Linked DNA regions of Drosophila melanogaster. The main gene of each other region encodes a partner of the protein of the gene in region 2 in a complex. Each region holds a gene or a part of one and is shown on either strand. Other genes may lie near its edges. The genes, in order: Nup54, Nup98-96 and Nup153.

What was found.
Region 1: Nup98-96 (region 2) and Nup54 share a complex: the UniProt entries of both Drosophila melanogaster proteins name them as parts of the nuclear pore complex.
Region 3: Nup98-96 (region 2) and Nup153 share a complex: the UniProt entries of both Drosophila melanogaster proteins name them as parts of the nuclear pore complex.

What each region holds. Positions count from the first base shown.
Region 1 is NT_033778.4:12,427,854-12,432,986, reverse strand, and holds Nup54 (nucleoporin 54kD), read left to right. Parts: upstream 1-1,887; 5' UTR 1,888-2,050; coding exon 2,051-2,105; exon of another isoform or gene 2,106-2,127; coding exon of another isoform or gene 2,128-2,236; intron 2,237-2,297; coding exon of another isoform or gene 2,298-2,374; exon of another isoform or gene 2,375-2,392; intron 2,393-2,526; coding exon 2,527-3,033; intron 3,034-3,092; coding exon 3,093-3,459; intron 3,460-3,515; coding exon 3,516-4,077; intron 4,078-4,144; coding exon 4,145-4,486; 3' UTR 4,487-4,538; downstream 4,539-5,133. Other genes in the region: DUBAI (deubiquitinating apoptotic inhibitor), read left to right, coding at 1-8, 66-644; CG43204 (uncharacterized protein), read right to left, coding at 2,128-2,236, 2,298-2,374. UniProt on the Drosophila melanogaster protein: Component of the nuclear pore complex (NPC), a complex required for the trafficking across the nuclear envelope. Essential for the nuclear import of nuclear localization signal (NLS)-containing proteins in an importin alpha/importin beta-dependent manner.
Region 2 is NT_033777.3:23,775,571-23,783,307, reverse strand, and holds the start of Nup98-96 (nucleoporin 98-96kD), read left to right. Parts: upstream 1-1,686; 5' UTR 1,687-2,143; coding exon 2,144-2,423; intron 2,424-2,483; coding exon 2,484-5,021; intron 5,022-5,100; coding exon 5,101-5,619; intron 5,620-5,687; coding exon 5,688-5,870; coding exon of another isoform or gene 5,871-5,890; exon of another isoform or gene 5,891-6,092; intron 6,093-6,200; coding exon 6,201-6,376; intron 6,377-6,432; coding exon 6,433-6,715; intron 6,716-6,774; coding exon 6,775-7,737. Other genes in the region: mbc (myoblast city), read right to left, coding at 920-968. UniProt on the Drosophila melanogaster protein: Part of the nuclear pore complex (NPC). Required for MAD import as part of the Nup107-160 complex and required for nuclear export of Moe probably via its association with Rae1. Plays a role in nuclear mRNA export.
Region 3 is NC_004354.4:16,597,554-16,602,304, forward strand, and holds the start of Nup153 (nucleoporin 153kD), read left to right. Parts: upstream 1-1,687; 5' UTR 1,688-2,086; exon of another isoform or gene 2,087-2,170; 5' UTR 2,171-2,601; coding exon 2,602-2,760; intron 2,761-2,826; coding exon 2,827-3,342; intron 3,343-3,400; coding exon 3,401-3,645; intron 3,646-3,822; coding exon 3,823-4,751. Other genes in the region: CG9784 (uncharacterized protein), read right to left, coding at 1-689. UniProt on the Drosophila melanogaster protein: Component of the nuclear pore complex (NPC), a complex required for the trafficking across the nuclear envelope. Functions as a scaffolding element in the nuclear phase of the NPC.

The DNA.
Region 1 (5,133 bases), on a different chromosome or scaffold from region 2:
ATGAGAGCGTAAGTATCGCAGCGAATTTCTCCGCTACAAGTTTAGCTAACCATTTCGCACGCTAGGTCACAGTAAAAATGTCGGCAAAGGACTCGCTGCAGGAGATGTCCACTGTGCACTATGATCTGTATGCGGGTGTTGTTCACGCCGGGTACAGCATGGATTCCGGTCACTACTTTACGTTCGCGGCGGATCAAGCCAAGAATTGGTACAAGTTCAACGATAACGTGGTTACCCACTCCAAGCCGGAGGAGATGCACAATCTCACTTCGCCCAACACGCCCTACATCCTGTTCTACAAGATGTGCGGCCACTCCAATGAGTCTAATTCGGTTACGGCCAGCTGCAGTTCGAGTATGGTATCGGGCTCAAATGACCAGGTGGTCTCGGTGCCACTGTCGCCGCCTCTGAAGCTGGAGGAGTTGCCACGCCGACTTCGCGACTACGTAAGAAAGGACAACCATGTTTACAACGAAGAGTTGAAGATGCAACGCTTTAAGCGTGGCAACAGCGGTCACGGCAATGCGTTTGTCAGCCGGCACAACTTTGATGGCGATGGTGACGAGGACGACAAGGCGCCGCCGCCGCCCGGAGGATGTGGAGGCAATGGACTGGGCATGAACATCAACCGCTTCGTCTTCTGAGAAAGCGACAGCCAGGATAGCGAGCACACCGGAGGCCACTAGAACATATACTTGTCTACTTTATGAAACACGCGCATACTAATCGAAATGTTACATACATATATATATAGCACGTTCACAACCAATCGAGATATATGCGCCTACGTATATCGAAGTGTATGAGAAACGCGCTTACCGATCGCTTGTTCGCTACCTCCTTGAGTTGTTGTCGATGTTTTCTAAATTGTTTCTTCCTTTTCTCCTTGATCCTTCGGCCCGTTGCCCCAAAAATCATTATACTCATCCACTCATACGAACGCAAACTATTATTGTATTTCCATTTACAAAATTGTTATAATTTTTTTGTTTTTGTTAACACAAACCTAGTTGTAGAACGTGCATATATGCGAACACAAACATATTTAATTATAAAAATTAAAAAAAAAAAAAAACAATAGAATTAGCCAGAAATAGGAGCGATATACTTGAATCCGAAGACCACTAACTTCCAAAACACTAAACCAGAAATAATGTCTGCACCCTAGTTTTTAACGCACAGCTCGAAATTAAATCATATCTCGAGTTGCAATCGAACTAGCAAGAAGCTACAAAACAAGATAATCGCGGCATTGACTTGTATAGATCGAGATCGTTTATAGATCGGGCTATAACCCTCGGATCGTATTATTAGTTTCACTGTTAATTTTAGCAAATTTCAAAAAATTTGCGCATGTGCGACACGAATTTGTAATTGATATATATAAATGTATCTCTTTGGATCTGGTGAGCAGAGGTTGCGATGAATTTTGAACGTTATTGCAATTAAATTGGAATAATTTCAAGGAAATTTGTATATGGTGTATGTCTATTGATAACCAAAATCTATACTATGCTATGCTATAAGTGTATCAATAAAGAAAAGAACAAGCCCAAAGAGTGTTTAATTATTAGAGTCACGAAAGAGTTTAATGTGAAAACAACAAAAATAGTATCCATTCATGGAAGTTACTATATCAAAAAGAAAAGCAATGATCAGAAAGGAGGATATTATATTCAGTTCAAACATTAGAGAGGAGGCGTAAACTAGAATTAAAAACTTGACAGGATTATTGAAGTGGCGAATTGATTTTCTTGCCGCCAAATTTCAAATTATAGCGTACTAATAATCAAAAGTCGGGCCTAAGACTATCGATAATTTAGACCGCGCGGCAGTGTTACCAAATTAATAAGGGAAATTCAAGTGTTGTTGTCAGCAAGGGTGAGAGCCCATTTACAATCTGGTAACACTGCTAGAAAGCGCCAAAATTTTACGTTTATTAGGATTAAGACTAATTTTATTACAATAAAATAGAATTGTACAAATTCCGGCCCCTAGGAAAGGCAACCCAAACTGTGCGGCAAAGTAACGTCCTTGAGAATACCGCATCATGTCGTTCTTCGGATCCAACACGTCGCTGGGAGCAACAAGCACGCCGGCCAAAAGTGAGTTTCCGTAAACAAGACCTCATGCCCTTTTCTCCAAATATTTGTGGGGTCCATTTCCACTTGGTGGAGGCTTCAGCAGCTTCTTGGCGTCCTGCAGGCTGTGGATGCGGATGTCTTTGGGATCTATGCTGGATGTGGGACGGGCTACATGGTGTCAGTGTTCTTATGTGGCCAGACAAAGATGCTCACCCCTTCTTGTGGACCACATAGGCGACGTATCCCACAAAACCTAGCAGGAGGATCAGCAATATAAAAACCAGAGCCATTTTCCACGACCAGCAGGCGACCAGAGCTTGAAGCAAACTAAGGGCAGCTTCTGTAGTATTTTGGAACCCGAAATCTCAGATAAGAATCCAAGGCAGAAGCATAGTTTTCAAAACACTGACCCATTTCTGGTCTTCTTATCTCTTTTGTTCAGCAACCGGTGGCCTCTTCGGATCGCCGTTTGGAGGCACAGCTGCAACCAGCCAGCCAGCACCCGCTTTCGGAGCACAGGCCACATCGACTCCGGCTTTTGGCGCCCAACCGGCGACTTCTGCCTTCGGAGCAGGTTCCGCCTTTGGAGCAACCGCTGCAGCCCCGGCTTTTGGAGCCGCCACAGGAACTTCTGCCTTTGGCGGCTCCGCCTTTGGCAGTACTCCGGCATTTGGTGCGGCGACAACCACAACTGCGGGCACGGGTTTGGGAGGAGGCGGTTTCGGCGGATTTGGAGCAGCTCCGGCAACAAGTCAGGCCGGTCTGTTCGGCGCTCCAGCGACTAGTGCAGCACCACCAGCTTTTAGCGGATTCGGCCAACAGGCAGCTGCGAGTACAGCGCCAGCAAGTGGATTTTCAGGCTTTGGCACAACCACAACGTCGGCACCTGCTTTTGGTGGCTTTGGCACCAGCCAGTCCACTGGCTTTGGGGGCGGAGCCTTCGGATCCAGTAAGTTAAATAAGCCCATTTGTCTTTCTGTGGTATTCCTAACCTGGTTTATGTTTCAGCGTTCGGAAAACCAGCGAATACAACAGTTACGCCGGGATTTGGTGGATTCGGAGGCACCAGTTTTATGCTTGGACAGCCGCAACAGCAGCCAGCGCCCATATCGGCTGACGAGGCGTTTGCCCAATCCATTCTGAATGTATCCATTTTCGGGGATGAACGGGACAAAATAGTGGCCAAATGGAACTACTTGCAGGCTACGTGGGGCACTGGGAAAATGTTTTACTCCCAGAGTGCGGCACCGGTAGACATTACGCCGGAGAACGTGATGTGCCGGTTCAAGGCCATAGGCTACAGTCGTATGCCGGGCAAGGATAACAAGTTGGGACTGGTGGCTCTTAACTTCTGCAGAGAACTCTCAGCTGTCAAGTAAGTCTTAGTGCTTGTCTACATCATGGCATAGGTATTAATTCATTTTATTTTAGGCCACACCAGCAACAAGTGATTCAAACGCTTCACAGTTTATTCGGCAGCAAGCCCAACATGCTTGTTCACATAGATTCCATCAAGGAGTTGGAGAACAAAAAGTGCCAAATTGTTATTTATGTCGAGGAGAAACTTCAACATGCTCCCAACGAAAGCAAGCGTATACTTGCCACCGAACTCTCAAACTACCTTAATCAGGCGACGCTGAAACCACAGCTCAATAATCTAGGTGTTGTGGAGGCTTTGGCTCTGGTATTACCCGACGAAGATCAATTGAGGGAGTACCTTGAAAATCCACCCCGCGGCGTGGATCCGCGCATGTGGCGTCAGGCCAATTCCGACAATCCAGATCCAACTTTATATATACCAGTGCCCATGGTGGGCTTTAACGACTTAAAGTGGCGCGTTAAGTGTCAGGAACAAGAAACGGACACGCATGCATTGTACATAAAGAAGGTGGAGAGTGAGCTGACAGAACTCAAGAAGCGCCATGCCACTGCCACAGCGAAGATACTTGAACATAAACGGAAACTGGCCGAGCTCAGTCATCGCATACTAAGGGTAGGGACACCTAGTTAAATACCCAACTTTATTTTTACATTCAGAAATCCGCATTTTTCAACCACAGATAATAGTGAAACAAGAGTGCACCCGCAAGGTGGGCACTTCCCTGACGCCCGAGGAGGAGGCCTTGCGCACCAAGCTACAGAACATGCTGGCTGTCGTCTCCGCACCCACCCAATTCAAGGGCCGACTCAGCGAGCTCCTCTCCCAGATGCGCATGCAGCGCAATCAATTCGCAGCCAACGGTGGTGCCGAGTATGCCCTCGACAAGGAAGCGGAGGACGAGATGAAGACCTTTCTGACGATGCAGCAGCGCGCCATGGAGGTGCTGAGCGATACCGTCAACAAGGACCTGAGGGCGCTGGATGTTATAATTAAAGGACTGCCCGAGCTGCGACAATCGTGATAGGAATGGAAATGAGCTGATACGTTGAATAAAACCCACATATGTGTAACACAACCCGGTGATTTTCGATGATCGAGACAACGAACAAGTTGTGGCCGTTACACTTTTGCCATTATGTCGTCGTTTAGCATTTCCTGTAGCTTTGAACTTGCACTTTTACGGGCAATGGAGTCGAAACAATCGAAACGAGTTCACACATTCGTCGCCAATGCTGCGGAAATAATTGTGTGGGTCAATGCACTTGCACCGCACAGCTCTTGGACCGCCCGACTTTTCCTCGGCCACTGTCTGAAATTGTCCAATTTCGACGGCTAGGCAGAAGGCAATCGCTCGGACTCATTATGAGTGGCAAACGGTTCGTCTCTGGCAGTTCCAGTTTGTTCAACTCCCAGCATCGGTATCACCATCGTTGTTACATTAACATTATTATGTGCTCTGGCGTGTGCATACATGTGCAGTCTAGTTAGTTGGCTCGTTACATATTTATTTCTTGTGTGGGAAACTAGTTTTCTCCCAGTCAACCAGCCAGCCAGGGTCCGTGCAGGTTTTTTGTTGGCCATTGATGGCGGAGACTTCCGAGCTTCCGTTTGGAGCATGTAGCGCCAGTATAAATGAATTGGCCAGCTCCAAGGAGGCCTCACATCGTT
Region 2 (7,737 bases):
TAAACGCGCAAACACAAAAAAGGGCAGAGGCAGAGGCAAACGTGTGTAAATAACAAGTGCAAACACACCGGCAAGCTCCATTCGAGTGTTAACGAACGAGATTCCCAGTTCCACTCGATCTACCTGGGACTAGAGGTACCTGTACTTTATGTACCTGTCGTATCTATTGATCAGCGGTGAAAAGGTCAACAAAACGAGATCCATAAAAAATTCACACGCATTCGAAGCGGGTCGCGATTAGATATTTCATGGTCACTGCCATTGAATTGGGATTTGTCTCACAGTGTACACAGAAAATAAACATTTCTACTGTCAGCTTGATGCAGCTTGCCTTGGGTTTACAAAGACCAGGTTTCAAATCCCACACCCGTAAATACGTAAAAGTTGTAGTACTAATGTTGTAGTACTTCAGATTTAAGTTTATGTAAAATTACATTAATTGTATAAAATTTCTTTATGTGTACCAGGCCTTTTTTCTGGCAGTGTGTTGCAGTTGCACGTGAGAGACAGAGACAGTATGAAAAGCGAGAGAGACAATAGAAAACAGGTTTTAGTTTCAAGAGCAAATCTCAGAATTTTATGCTAGTGTTGACTGAGCAGGATGAAATGAAATGAAAAACGAAACAACACAGTGAGAGCGGGAAAGGGAGGATCAACAGCAGCCGAGTGAGCGTGTGCAAGCGAGAAGGTGCAACAAGTTTTACCGTAGCAACGCAGCAGGAGGCACACACATGCGGTGAAATAAGAGAGAGAGTTAGAGAGAGAGGTGGGGGTGGAGATGAGGTGTGCTCTGGAAAAGAGCGCCCAACAGTTCATAAAGTTTTCCTTTATTGTTGTTTACAAAGCACTTTGTTTAAACATTCCTGCCTAGCCATATTCTACCTAATTTATCGGCTTAATAGCCGCATTGCCAACTTACCAATGCCGAATTCTGCCTGCTTGGCATTGCAGTCGCTCCACACACTCATCTTGAAGGCTTTTCTTCTCGTTGTTGTTGCTTCTACTAGTGTTGTTGCTGATATTGTTGTTTTTGCGCCGACTTTTACCACCAACACGGCGACAAACGATCGCTACTCACACATGCAAAGCGATGGACTTTCGTTTGCGAAAATAAAAACAACAAGACATTAAATTAGGCAACGGCAAAAGAGCAACACGTAGTTGAAATTTTGATTTCGTTTTCACAATGCCGCCAACACAAGCATTTCGCCTCCGATTTCGCTACAGATTTCGACGAAAAGCACACCGGTTGGACAATTGCAACCAATAAATAATTATTGCACAAAAGCTAGCATTCCGCACAAATTGTCGCTCCGCAAATGCATTTTGCGCCGTTTTTCGCTCGTTTTGTTCTCGACTTGTATTTGGGCTGGGAGTTGGCCGCTGCCGCTCAGCTAATTATCACATGTACACGCACTCGATCGCACACACACTCGTGTGTGACAGTTGCCAATTAATTAAATAACCGCTCTCGGAAAACAACCCGCGCGTTTCAACTGTTTGTTGTGAATGAGCGTGCTCGATGCCCAGAAGTACCGTACTGTTCCCAATCGAAAATATCAAATATAGAGTGCCCCTTACAGCGTGTTCACACCGTTGATGTCAAATGGGTTTTCACTTTGTTCGCAGTACGGTCACATAAAAATGTGAAAATCGAGCTTACCTACAAAATACGAGAAACCCAAGTTATAAAATACATTTTCCACACATTCATAGTAAATTTGCTTCGGAGGCACCAAGCAAAAATTTTATTAAGACCATAAATAAGTTATGGTCAATAGTTATGCGCCTGGCAGTTGTATCCTGCTTTTTTACAGTGTATTTTTGCATGCGATTTCACGCCTTGGTCACACTTTTGGCTGCATTTTCTTCAACATCGTGAAAAAATCGGCGCGCCATTTCTGTCCACTTTTTGCGTCAGACTCGGTCGACTCCTGCTGACTTGACAAATTCGCGAGTGTTTATTTGTTTTAAGCTAAGCCTGTCCGGTCCCACAACCTTCGCATCCGGCGCAGCCGCCCCAGCTTGCCCAACGTGGTGAAATCGAAGCATTGCTCATCGCGATAGTTGGCATTCCGGCGAAGGACAAAGCAGGGGATCTACCTAGTATATGTTTGTTATCTGAGCAGCAGCAGCGAGCAAAATGTTTGGCGGCGCGAAACCCAGCTTCGGAGCCACTCCGGCGGCCACCAGCTTTGGCGGATTCAGCGGCACCACAACAACCACTCCGTTTGGCCAGTCGGCATTTGGCAAACCCGCCGCACCGGCCTTTGGAAACACCTCCACCTTTGCCGCCCAACCCGCGCAGCAGTCACTGTTCGGTGCGGCAGCCACACCAGCTCAGCCCGCCGGAGGCTTATTCGGGGCAAACACGTCCACGGGATTTGGAAGCACTGCCACAGCTCAGCCCACGGCTTTTGGAGGTTAGACACGATCATTTGAAGTGGTATCATGTTACTAATTTAGTAATTTCTTCTTTGCAGCCTTCTCGCAGCCGCAACAGACCTCGAACATATTTGGATCCACCCAGACGGCGGCAAGCACCTCCCTCTTTGGACAATCGACGCTACCCGCCTTTGGAGCCGCCAAGCCGACTATGACGGCCTTTGGGCAAACAGCTGCTGCTCAGCCCACGGGCTCTTTGTTTGGCCAACCGGCTGCCGCCACCAGTACAACAGGATTCGGAGGCTTTGGGACGTCGGCGCCTACAACCACCAATGTTTTTGGCAGTGGCACCGCCTCCGCCTTTGCCCAACCTCAGGCTACGGCCGTGGGAGCTTCCGGAGTCAATACGGGCACGGCCGTGGCCAAGTACCAGCCAACCATTGGTACAGATACCCTGATGAAGAGCGGTCAGGCAAATAGTGTGAACACTAAGCAGCACTGCATCACGGCTATGAAGGAGTTCGAGGGCAAATCTCTGGAGGAGCTCCGCCTGGAAGACTATATGTGCGGGCGCAAGGGTCCACAGGCTGGGAATGCTCCGGGAGCTTTTGGATTTGGAGCTCAGGTTACTCAGCCCGCTCAGCCTGCAAGTGGTGGCCTGTTTGGAAGCACTGCCCAACCAAGCACAGGTCTGTTTGGCCAAACTGTGACCGAGAATAAGAGCATGTTTGGCACCACCGCTTTTGGCCAACAACCGGCGACTAACAATGCATTCGGAGCAGCAACCCAGCAAAACAACTTTCTGCAAAAGCCCTTTGGAGCCACCACCACCACTCCGTTTGCCGCTCCCGCAGCTGACGCTTCAAATCCATTTGGGGCGAAGCCTGCTTTTGGACAGGGAGGAAGCCTCTTTGGTCAGGCACCTGCTACCAGTGCGGCTCCTGCTTTCGGACAGACTAACACAGGATTCGGAGGCTTTGGAACCACAGCCGGAGCAACGCAACAGTCAACTCTTTTTGGTGCCACACCAGCCGCCGATCCAAATAAATCAGCCTTTGGGTTGGGAACGGCTGCATCAGCAGCCACGACAGGTTTTGGATTTGGAGCTCCAGCAACAAGCACCGCCGGCGGAGGCCTTTTCGGAAACAAGCCCGCCACTAGCTTTGCTGCTCCAACTTTCGGCGCAACCTCCACGGCTAGCACTCCGTTTTCAAATTTTGGCCTGAACACCAGTACAGCAGCAACGGGAGGAGGCCTTTTTAACTCGGGATTGAACAAGCCAGCAACGTCCGGATTCGGAGGTTTTGGAGCCACCAGCGCAGCACCACTTAATTTCAACGCAGGCAACACGGGCGGATCACTTTTCGGAAATACAGCCAAGCCGGGAGGAGGTCTTTTTGGAGGAGGTACTACAACCTTGGGTGGCACGGGTGCTGCCCCAACGGGAGGACTGTTTGGAGGAGGAACTACCAGTTTCGGAGGTGTCGGTGGTTCCTTGGGCGGAGGAGGCTTCGGTATGGGTACAAACAACTCGTTAACTGGTGGTATTATGGGAGCTCAGCCCACACTGGGTATCATGACGCCTTCACACCAGCCCATTCATCAGCAGATCCTAGCTAGGGTAACTTCTCCCTACGGAGACTCTCCGATTTTCAAGGATCTAAAGCTAAGCAGTGAAGCAGATGCAACAAGAGCTACAAATCCTGCTGCCCAACAAGCAGTTCTGGACCTGACCAGCAACCAGTACAAGATAAGTACCAGCAACAATCCTGCTCCAATGAAGGTAAAGGCGCTGGGCAGCACACTTAATAGAAAATCGCTGTTTGATGGTCTCGAGGAGTTTGATGCTTCTGTAGAGGGCTTCAATCTGAAGCCCAGTGCTAAACGATTAGTTATCAAACCCAAAGTAAAAAGTGTAGAGGGTGGAAATCCCTCTAGCTCTATTGGCAGTGCTCCCAACACGCCCCAATCTCGACCCAAAGGCGCAACTCCCAACAAAGAACGCGAGTCGTTTAGCGGAGCCATTCCAAGTGAGCCGCTACCACCAGCTGGAAACTCGCCTGGAGCAACGAATGGACGGGAAAGTCAGGATAACGGCCGCCGTGAGTCATGGCTGCATCCTAACAACCTTGAGAAGGTACGCCAGCACAACATTCAGACTGGAATGGATCAGGGATCGCCCCATAACAGCACCCTCAACGAGCTTGTGCCACGTAAACCTTTAGATACATACCGACCATCCTCCACCGTTCGCCTCTCGGTGTCAACCATCCCAGAGAATCCATTTGAGGATCAATCCAGCACCATTGCACGTCGCGAAACCTTCACTTCGCAGCAGGCCAATGAGAGTGTGCTTTCGAACAGATCTAATGAGGCAGAGGACTCTGCAGCAAACCAATCCCGCCTAGCCATTGAGGCAGCTGCTGCAGAGGCAGCAGACGACGAATCACATCCAACAGGCATTGTGCTGCGACGCGTGGGTTACTATACAATTCCATCGCTAGACGACCTACGCTCCTATCTGGCCGAGGACGGATCCTGTGTGGTTCCGAACTTTACGGTGGGTCGGGAAGGATACGGCAATGTCTTCTTCGGCAAGGAAATGGATGTGGCTGGCCTGAACCTCGATGAGATTGGTAAGAGTCTTGTGTTTTTTTATAACCGTTTGTGTTTGCTCTCATACATTTATTTAATGCAAAACAATTTGTATCACAGTCCACTTTCGCAACAAGGAGATTATCATTTATCCCGACGACGAAAACAAGCCGCCCATTGGTCAAGGTCTAAACCGTGACGCCCAGGTCACTTTGGACCAAGTATGGCCGTTGGACAAGACCAAGCACGAAGCCATCAAGGACCCACAACGCTTGCTTGAGATGGACTGGGAGGGCAAGTTGCGCCGGGTGTGCGATAAAAACGATACGCGCTTTATAGAATACCGCCCGGAAACGGGTAGTTGGGTCTTCCGCGTCAAGCACTTTTCTAAATATGGCCTGGGAGACAGCGACGAAGAGGACGAGTTGCCCACTGACCCGAAAAAAGCCAAAATTGCAACGCTTGAGGCTCAGCAGCGGGCAAACGCAGAAAAGATGACGCTCAATTCGCTGCGCCAAGCGCAGAAGATTTCAGAAGATGCAGCCCGTAACTTGGACCCAAAAGCCTTGGTCGCAGGTGTTGCCAGCGGATTCAGGCCAATGGATGATACCGCCGAGTTCCTTTTAATGGACAAAACACGTACGTCTAAAGTCCATTTTAAAAGGTTTAGTTTCATTAATTGTAATTTACTTAATTTTAATTCGCAGAATTTTTCCAAGCTGGTGGCAACTCCGATTTCTCCATGTTTGATCCACCGCGTCAACGTCCAACGATTACCAGTCCCACAGCTGTTTTGGCTCAGGAAATGGTAGGCAACGAGGCGCACAAAATGCAGCTAATGAAGTCATCCTTCTTTGTGGAGGACAATGCTCCCGAGGACGAACCCATGGGTAGGTGGATAATCTCTTGATGGTCTTTCAAATTGCTTACAGTAAAAGATATGTAGATGTTTAAATGTTAATCGTTAGTTTTGAGCAAATATGTATTGTTAATTATCAACGATATTTAATGATTTTTGATCGTTGCAAAAAGTATTATATATATATATTTATGTTTAAAAAGGTAGCACAAATTATAAAGTTAATAAAGCTTTCAAATGTGTTAGTAAATCCAATTCATTTTGCCTGCTTTGGCAACAATTCATTATAATTACAACAATTCACTGCTTATCATCCCACACGGCCACTATACATTTGAAAATTACTCATAAATTTCTACAGAGACTACGGGGCGTCTTCTTCGTCATCGCAAGTTTTTCAACGTGGAACCTCTTGTTTGGAAAGATGGTGCCTCCGAGAGTTCCAGTCAGTACGATTTTGAACACCCATCGCCCGCTCTGCCGATTTCTTCCTCCGTCTCTGAGGCCAGCCTGATGTGTGATGCACATTATGAGGAGGTATATCGACGTAACCTTTTACTTTGAAGCCCAATAAACATCCTGATCAATTTCAGACATCGTCGATGGCAACTGGAAGCATTGTTGCAGCTGTAAAAGAAACGAAGTTTGAAATGCCTGTCACTAAAGCCTTCAAGTTTGTCTGTAAGCCCAAAGTGGCTCCGATTAAGTTGCGTGCCACCACGGTTCCCCTACCCAGGTCCATCGCTTATGAGATGCGCGATAATTGGATCGCCGATTTGGGATTCTACAAAGGACGCAGCTTTAAGCTCAGTTTTGGTCCACAAAACTCATTGGTACTGCCAAGCACCTATAATAACATGCAAAACCTAAAAGAATGTAAGAATATCTGAAACAAGCTGTAGCAGTCCAATTATAATAATTTCCCTTTGCTTCAGTTACTGGACCATCCCTGCCCGTCTCCATGGTATTTGCGCCGCGCTCGGCCACCGATTTGTCGCCCAGTGTAATGCAGTTGGTGGAGTTTAACATGGTCAAAGGCAACGAGGGTTTTCGAGAAAGTATCATTCCCCATCTCGAAGTTCAGCTTAACGACTGCCTCTCAGTTAATGTGGAGGGTAGTGAGTGCCCGTGTATACATCCCGATAGCGGTACGAAACTAGTTTCCAAGCACTTCTCCGAGTCTCTTAAGCAGAGAAATGCTGGCTTAAAAGAGGACTATAGCGTGTCAGTGTGGTCGCTTTTATTCGCACTATGGGGCGATCACGATGAACTGGTGGACCTGGAAAAGAACTCTCATTACATGGTCATGTGTCGGCGCAATCTGCTATCCGAGTGGCTTGAGAACACGCTGCTGGGCAAAGATCTACTCTCGAAAAAAGTTAGCACCCACAGCTACCTGGAGCACATGTTGGATTTACTTAGCTGCCATCGCGTAAATGAGGCTTGTGAGCTGGCCTTCAGCTACGATGATGCTAATCTGGCTCTTGTGCTGTCCCAATTAAGTTCCGGAGCTGTCTTCCGGCTATTAATGGAGGAGCAGCTCTTTGCCTGGCAGCAGAGCAAGTCGGATAAGTATATCGATCTGGAGCGCCTTAAGATGTACATGCTGGCCGCCGGAGCGCCAATGATGCAGTCTTCACATGGGGCCATCAACTTACTCGAGAATAAAAACTGGCTGACAGCACTGGCCCTGCAGCTATGGTATTTCACAGCCCCAACATCGTCTATCACCGATGCACTCAATGCTTATAACGACGCCTTCCAAGCGGAAGAGTGCTATGCGGAGCCCCCAAAGCCCAGCTACAGGGACGCACCTACTGACACCAAGAAGCCCGTCTACGATTTGCGCTACCACTTGCTCCAGTTACACTCTAAACGTATGCATTCCCTGGAAGAAA
Region 3 (4,751 bases), on a different chromosome or scaffold from region 2:
GAATCGCTGCCCTGCAGTCGGAAGTTCAGATCGCCAAACCAGAAGACATAGTCGTGATCGTAGATCTCCCTATACCGCTTGACGTGGTAGTGATGGTTCTCCAGTATCTGCTTGTAGTCCTCGATGCGCTCGTCCATCATATGGTCATGGGCAGTCAGATGGGCCACCACAAAGGCCAGTCCGCAGCCGTAAAGGGTGAACCTGACACTGACGGCGCCCTTGTTGCCCCAAATGCCACCGAAACCGGTCCTCGTGAACTCCGCCTCGATGTCCTGCAAGTGCTCAACGTGCTGCCGCCTCACGAACATGCTGAGCAGCAGCCCCTGCATCTGCTCGGTCTTTACGGCCACATAGTCGTAGTTGCGTAGCAGTTCCTTAGCCTTGTGCGTCCACGGATCCTCCTTGAACAGTCCCAACACCTGTTGCTGCGGCTGGGCATTGACCTCCTGGAGCCCCAACGCATAGATGTCCGGCAAGTGGGCATTAGTCTCCTTCGTGTCCTTATCCACCGTCACATCCTGCAGTCCCAGCAGATGGCGGAGGGATATGTTATCCGGAAATCGACTGCCCACATTCCAGGTGACCACATATACCCGGTAAGTTTCCAGCTGTTGCTTCCCTTTGCCCTTCGATCCGTCCGGCTCCGAGTCCGGAATCTTGGGTGTCTTGCTAGCCTCCGTTTGGCTCATTGTTGCTGGACTTGACAAATCGAAGAGATTAACCCAACTGGCTGCTCACAGCAATCAAGTTGTTTACCCAACCGATTAAGGTTTTATTGTGTAAGTCGATTCTTTATGCCTTTGTGGATTTTGTTGCTCCAATCTGGGTTGCTGGTTAAGTTGGGTGGTGAACAGCGGCGAGGGCGGTCGGTAATTGCTGAAAATATTGCAGCACAAATAGTTTTTAACACTTGTTTGCCCAGCAGCAGCAACAACAACAACTGTGCTACAACAACACGACGAACACAATAACAACAACTAGGGATGGCAAAACTGAGAAGATGACGATATCGACTAGCGGTATTTATTTTCCAGCCCTAAAAATGTAAATTTCTTAGACGTTAAGAGGTAACATATTTGATTCATCTAGTAGTAAATTCAAGTTGTTTTAAAATGGCTTGCTAAAATTGAACCAAAACAATATGGTTTCCCCTATAACCCATTTTTTAAGATTTATTTAACATTTATACTGTATAATTTCTTTGTCATATTTGCACCTTAATAAGGGCTTTTATATTTGGCGCTCATATTATGTTCGTTTATTATATTTGCTTTATTTCTAATGCAGAATCTGTGGTCACTCTAGCACTCGCTGAATTTTAACTCGCTGGAAATTCTTTTTAGGACAACTATCGATTAACATTAGTACAGTATTTAAACTTTTGCATTATCACACAGCCAAGTAAAAACCTAAACAAATACCTCACTCCAACTTAAAGATACAAACGAGAATTCCTTTTAGTCAATGCAAATGCTTAGTATTCAAATGACAACACAAGCAAATGGTTACATATGTTATAAGTCGCACTTGAAGCGGTTCTTGAGTAATAAGCCCGTATGGCAGTTCATCACCAATTAAAAATATTTAATAATTACAGACTTCCAAACCGTAAACGTGCATGTAACCGATAGCTGCAGGCAACGTATCGATTAGCACACGCTGCCCGACACGCCGATAGTATCTGACAAACATCGATTTTGGTTCCAGCTCTACTTTGTGGCCACACACGCGTTTTTTCCCCAATCAAATCGTGCTCTTTTGAAATTCTGTTTCTTGCAAATCGGTGGTGCGTGTTCTCGTGCAACAATGGAAAACCTGAATGCGACCAGCGGCAAATGTTAAATTGCAATTAAAAGTGTGGATTTCGCGGCGGTAAAACGCCAAAATTCGTACCGAATCGCTGCGCGCGTGTGTGTGTGAGCAGAGCGTGAAGAAGAGGAACGAAGAATTGCGAAAGCAGTGTGTGCGGAAGAAGTGGAAGAAGCACAAAGACAAAAGGAAGGTGAAAATATATCAAATATATATCAAATCTATCCGGCAAAAGTAAAACAAATATTGAAGAAAACGGGCGGCATGCTGGAAAGCGGTAAGGGCAAAGCCAAAAGCAAGAACCTCGAGCGCTTCGCCCGAATTCGGTATTCAATCCTTTTTCCCGCCTCTAATTTTGCAGTGCTTGTGCCCAGAATTTGCTCTTCATTGGTGGCCAAGAAGTCAAATCCTGATCAAACGCGACCAGTTTGTGGCGCCAAACAGAATATTATTTAAAAATATCGCGGCGTGTGTAAAACCTCGGCGAAACGCGAACAAAAAAAACCACGACGGCGTGCGTAAGCGCACTCACACCTTTGCACACGCACAGACAGAGAGAGAAGGCAGGATAGAGAGTGAGAACGAAGCGAGTGAGCGAACATTATCCGCACCTACACATACAAACTAGCTCGCAGGAATTGCAACAGTGTGTGCTTTTTTTTTGGTTTTTTTTTTTACTTACGTTTTTTGTTGTGTGTGCGGCAACGCTTCTTTTTCGCGTTTTTTTTGCATCTCTCTTTTGTGCCGTTGCTTCGCCGGCTAAAAAGGTGAGTCTGAATCTAAAGCGGCATAATGGAGGATGCACAGGAGCAAAGGGAATCCTCGCAAGCCGAATTGGCCAAAAAGCATCCGCTGACGCCGCTCAAGGAGCTGCCTGAAGAAAGCGAGGAGGAGGAGGAGGAAGAGGATGAATCCTCGGCGGGAGCCCTACGGGAGTCTGACAGCAACAACGTAAGTACAGTCGACGATAACTTGGTTCCCATCAAATATCCAACTTCCGTGCAATTGCAATTGCAGTCCATCATGGGGAAGATGAAGATGCGCGTGTCCAGCATTCTGCCCGCCTCCTTGAGCGGTTGGTTTTCGCCGTCGTCCAAAGATGGGAACGATGCCTTATCCTCCCCAGCTAATCTCCGCCAGTCACAGCCACGCCAGTCCAATGGACGCCTCACTACCAAGCGGAAACGAGGACGCCGTCGGATAATGCTAGCCGAAGTGGATGCCGATGCAGCCGATGATCTTGATGACGGCTCCGATGCCAAAGGCCTCAACTATGAGGAGGTGGCCCTGGCCGACAACATAGCCGAACACGACCTGGCCGCCGAGGATGAACAGACGCGGCGGAGCGAGTACAATGTGTTCCTGCTGCGCAAGCGAGCCGGGGCTGTTGCAGCTGCCGGCGGTGACGAGGATGAGGCCGAGGAGGATGAACTGGAAGAGGACGACGAGGATGGCGATGAGGAGGATGACGATGAAGAGCAGGAGAATCTCCAACAGTCCGCCGCCGTGCAGACCAAGCGTCGACGCCTGGAGGTAAGATCACATCTTCAATCCTGTCTACATTTCCCAACTAATCTTGAATCCCTTTCAGCTGGAGACCCCCGTCAATTTGCCGAACATGCGTCGTCTGCCCCTTTTGTCATCCACGCCTGCTGCTCCGCTCGCGGCTGCCACCAGCTCCTCCAGCTCCCAGATGTACAAGGGCGTCAGCCACATTGCGCCACATCGGCGCAATCACCTCAATTTGTATGGTAGTCAACGGCAGCGCGAACCCGCGTACAACTTTTTCACGGGCAACGAAGCTGCCGAGGGAAGCACCGGGGATCTGCCACACAGGTATGTTACTGCAGTCATGCTTACTAAAAGTGTTAATATGGAATTCAAAAAGATAACTACCTTAGAGCTCGTTTCAAACAAACTCAAATTTGGGCGTTGCATAGCCAGGCTATTGCCAAGACGAAAAAGAAGAAAACCTTAGTGAAAATTATAAGGCAATCATTTAAATCATTTTAGCATCCGCCGTTCACTGAACATACCTTTCGGAGGCAGCAGCACCGCTACCAGCTACAACAACAGCCTATCCAGCCTTCCTAACCACAAGCGACCATCGCTCATAGGCAAGCAAACCCATCGACGCGATCTTACCATGGATGAGACGGGGACTGGCCCGGCCATGAGTTCGGAAGAACATCTCAATCATTTGCTGAGAATAAGCAGGACCAACAACAATACTAGCAACAATAATAATAATAATAATAACAACAACAATGTCATTGAGACAAAAACAAGACGAAGTGAACTGTCTGCGGCCGCAGGAGGTTGCGGTGATTCGCAGTCCGAGAGCGATATGAACGAATACCACGACAATGGTGAAGGGCACGACGGACTTCGTCCGTCGCATTACAACAGCAACAGCAATTTAGAATTTTACGGAAATCTGCAGAGCTCCAAGTCAATATTTAACAGAAGCAACACCGCCGCACAGCAATCGCATCGGAATTCTACGTGGTCGCTGAATTCCCTTACCCAACGACGTCGCTTCAATGCGTCCATATACGGCAGTACGTCGGCACTGAGCGACAGTCGTCTGCTTAGTGGCAGTGCCTCTAACTCAGGCTCTGCATCTGCCTCTAGCTCGCCCTTTTACCAGGGACGCACCACCTTCGGGGGCAATTCCGGCAACAATCGCCTCTTCAGTCGCAGCAATCTTAGCTCATCCGCCGCATCCTCAATGTTGGGACTCAATTCTGCCGGCAGCTCACCGGCGCATCAGCTGCATGCTTCCATGACTGGTGGTATTGGATACGGTATGAAAGCGGTAGATATGCGACCTTCAGACTCCGGCAGTCTTGCGGAGACATCTGTGGGCCAAGGTGGCAGTAAGAAACCCGGTACCGGGCTGTCGAACACCACGATGCGCATTCTCAACCTACTTGAAAGCT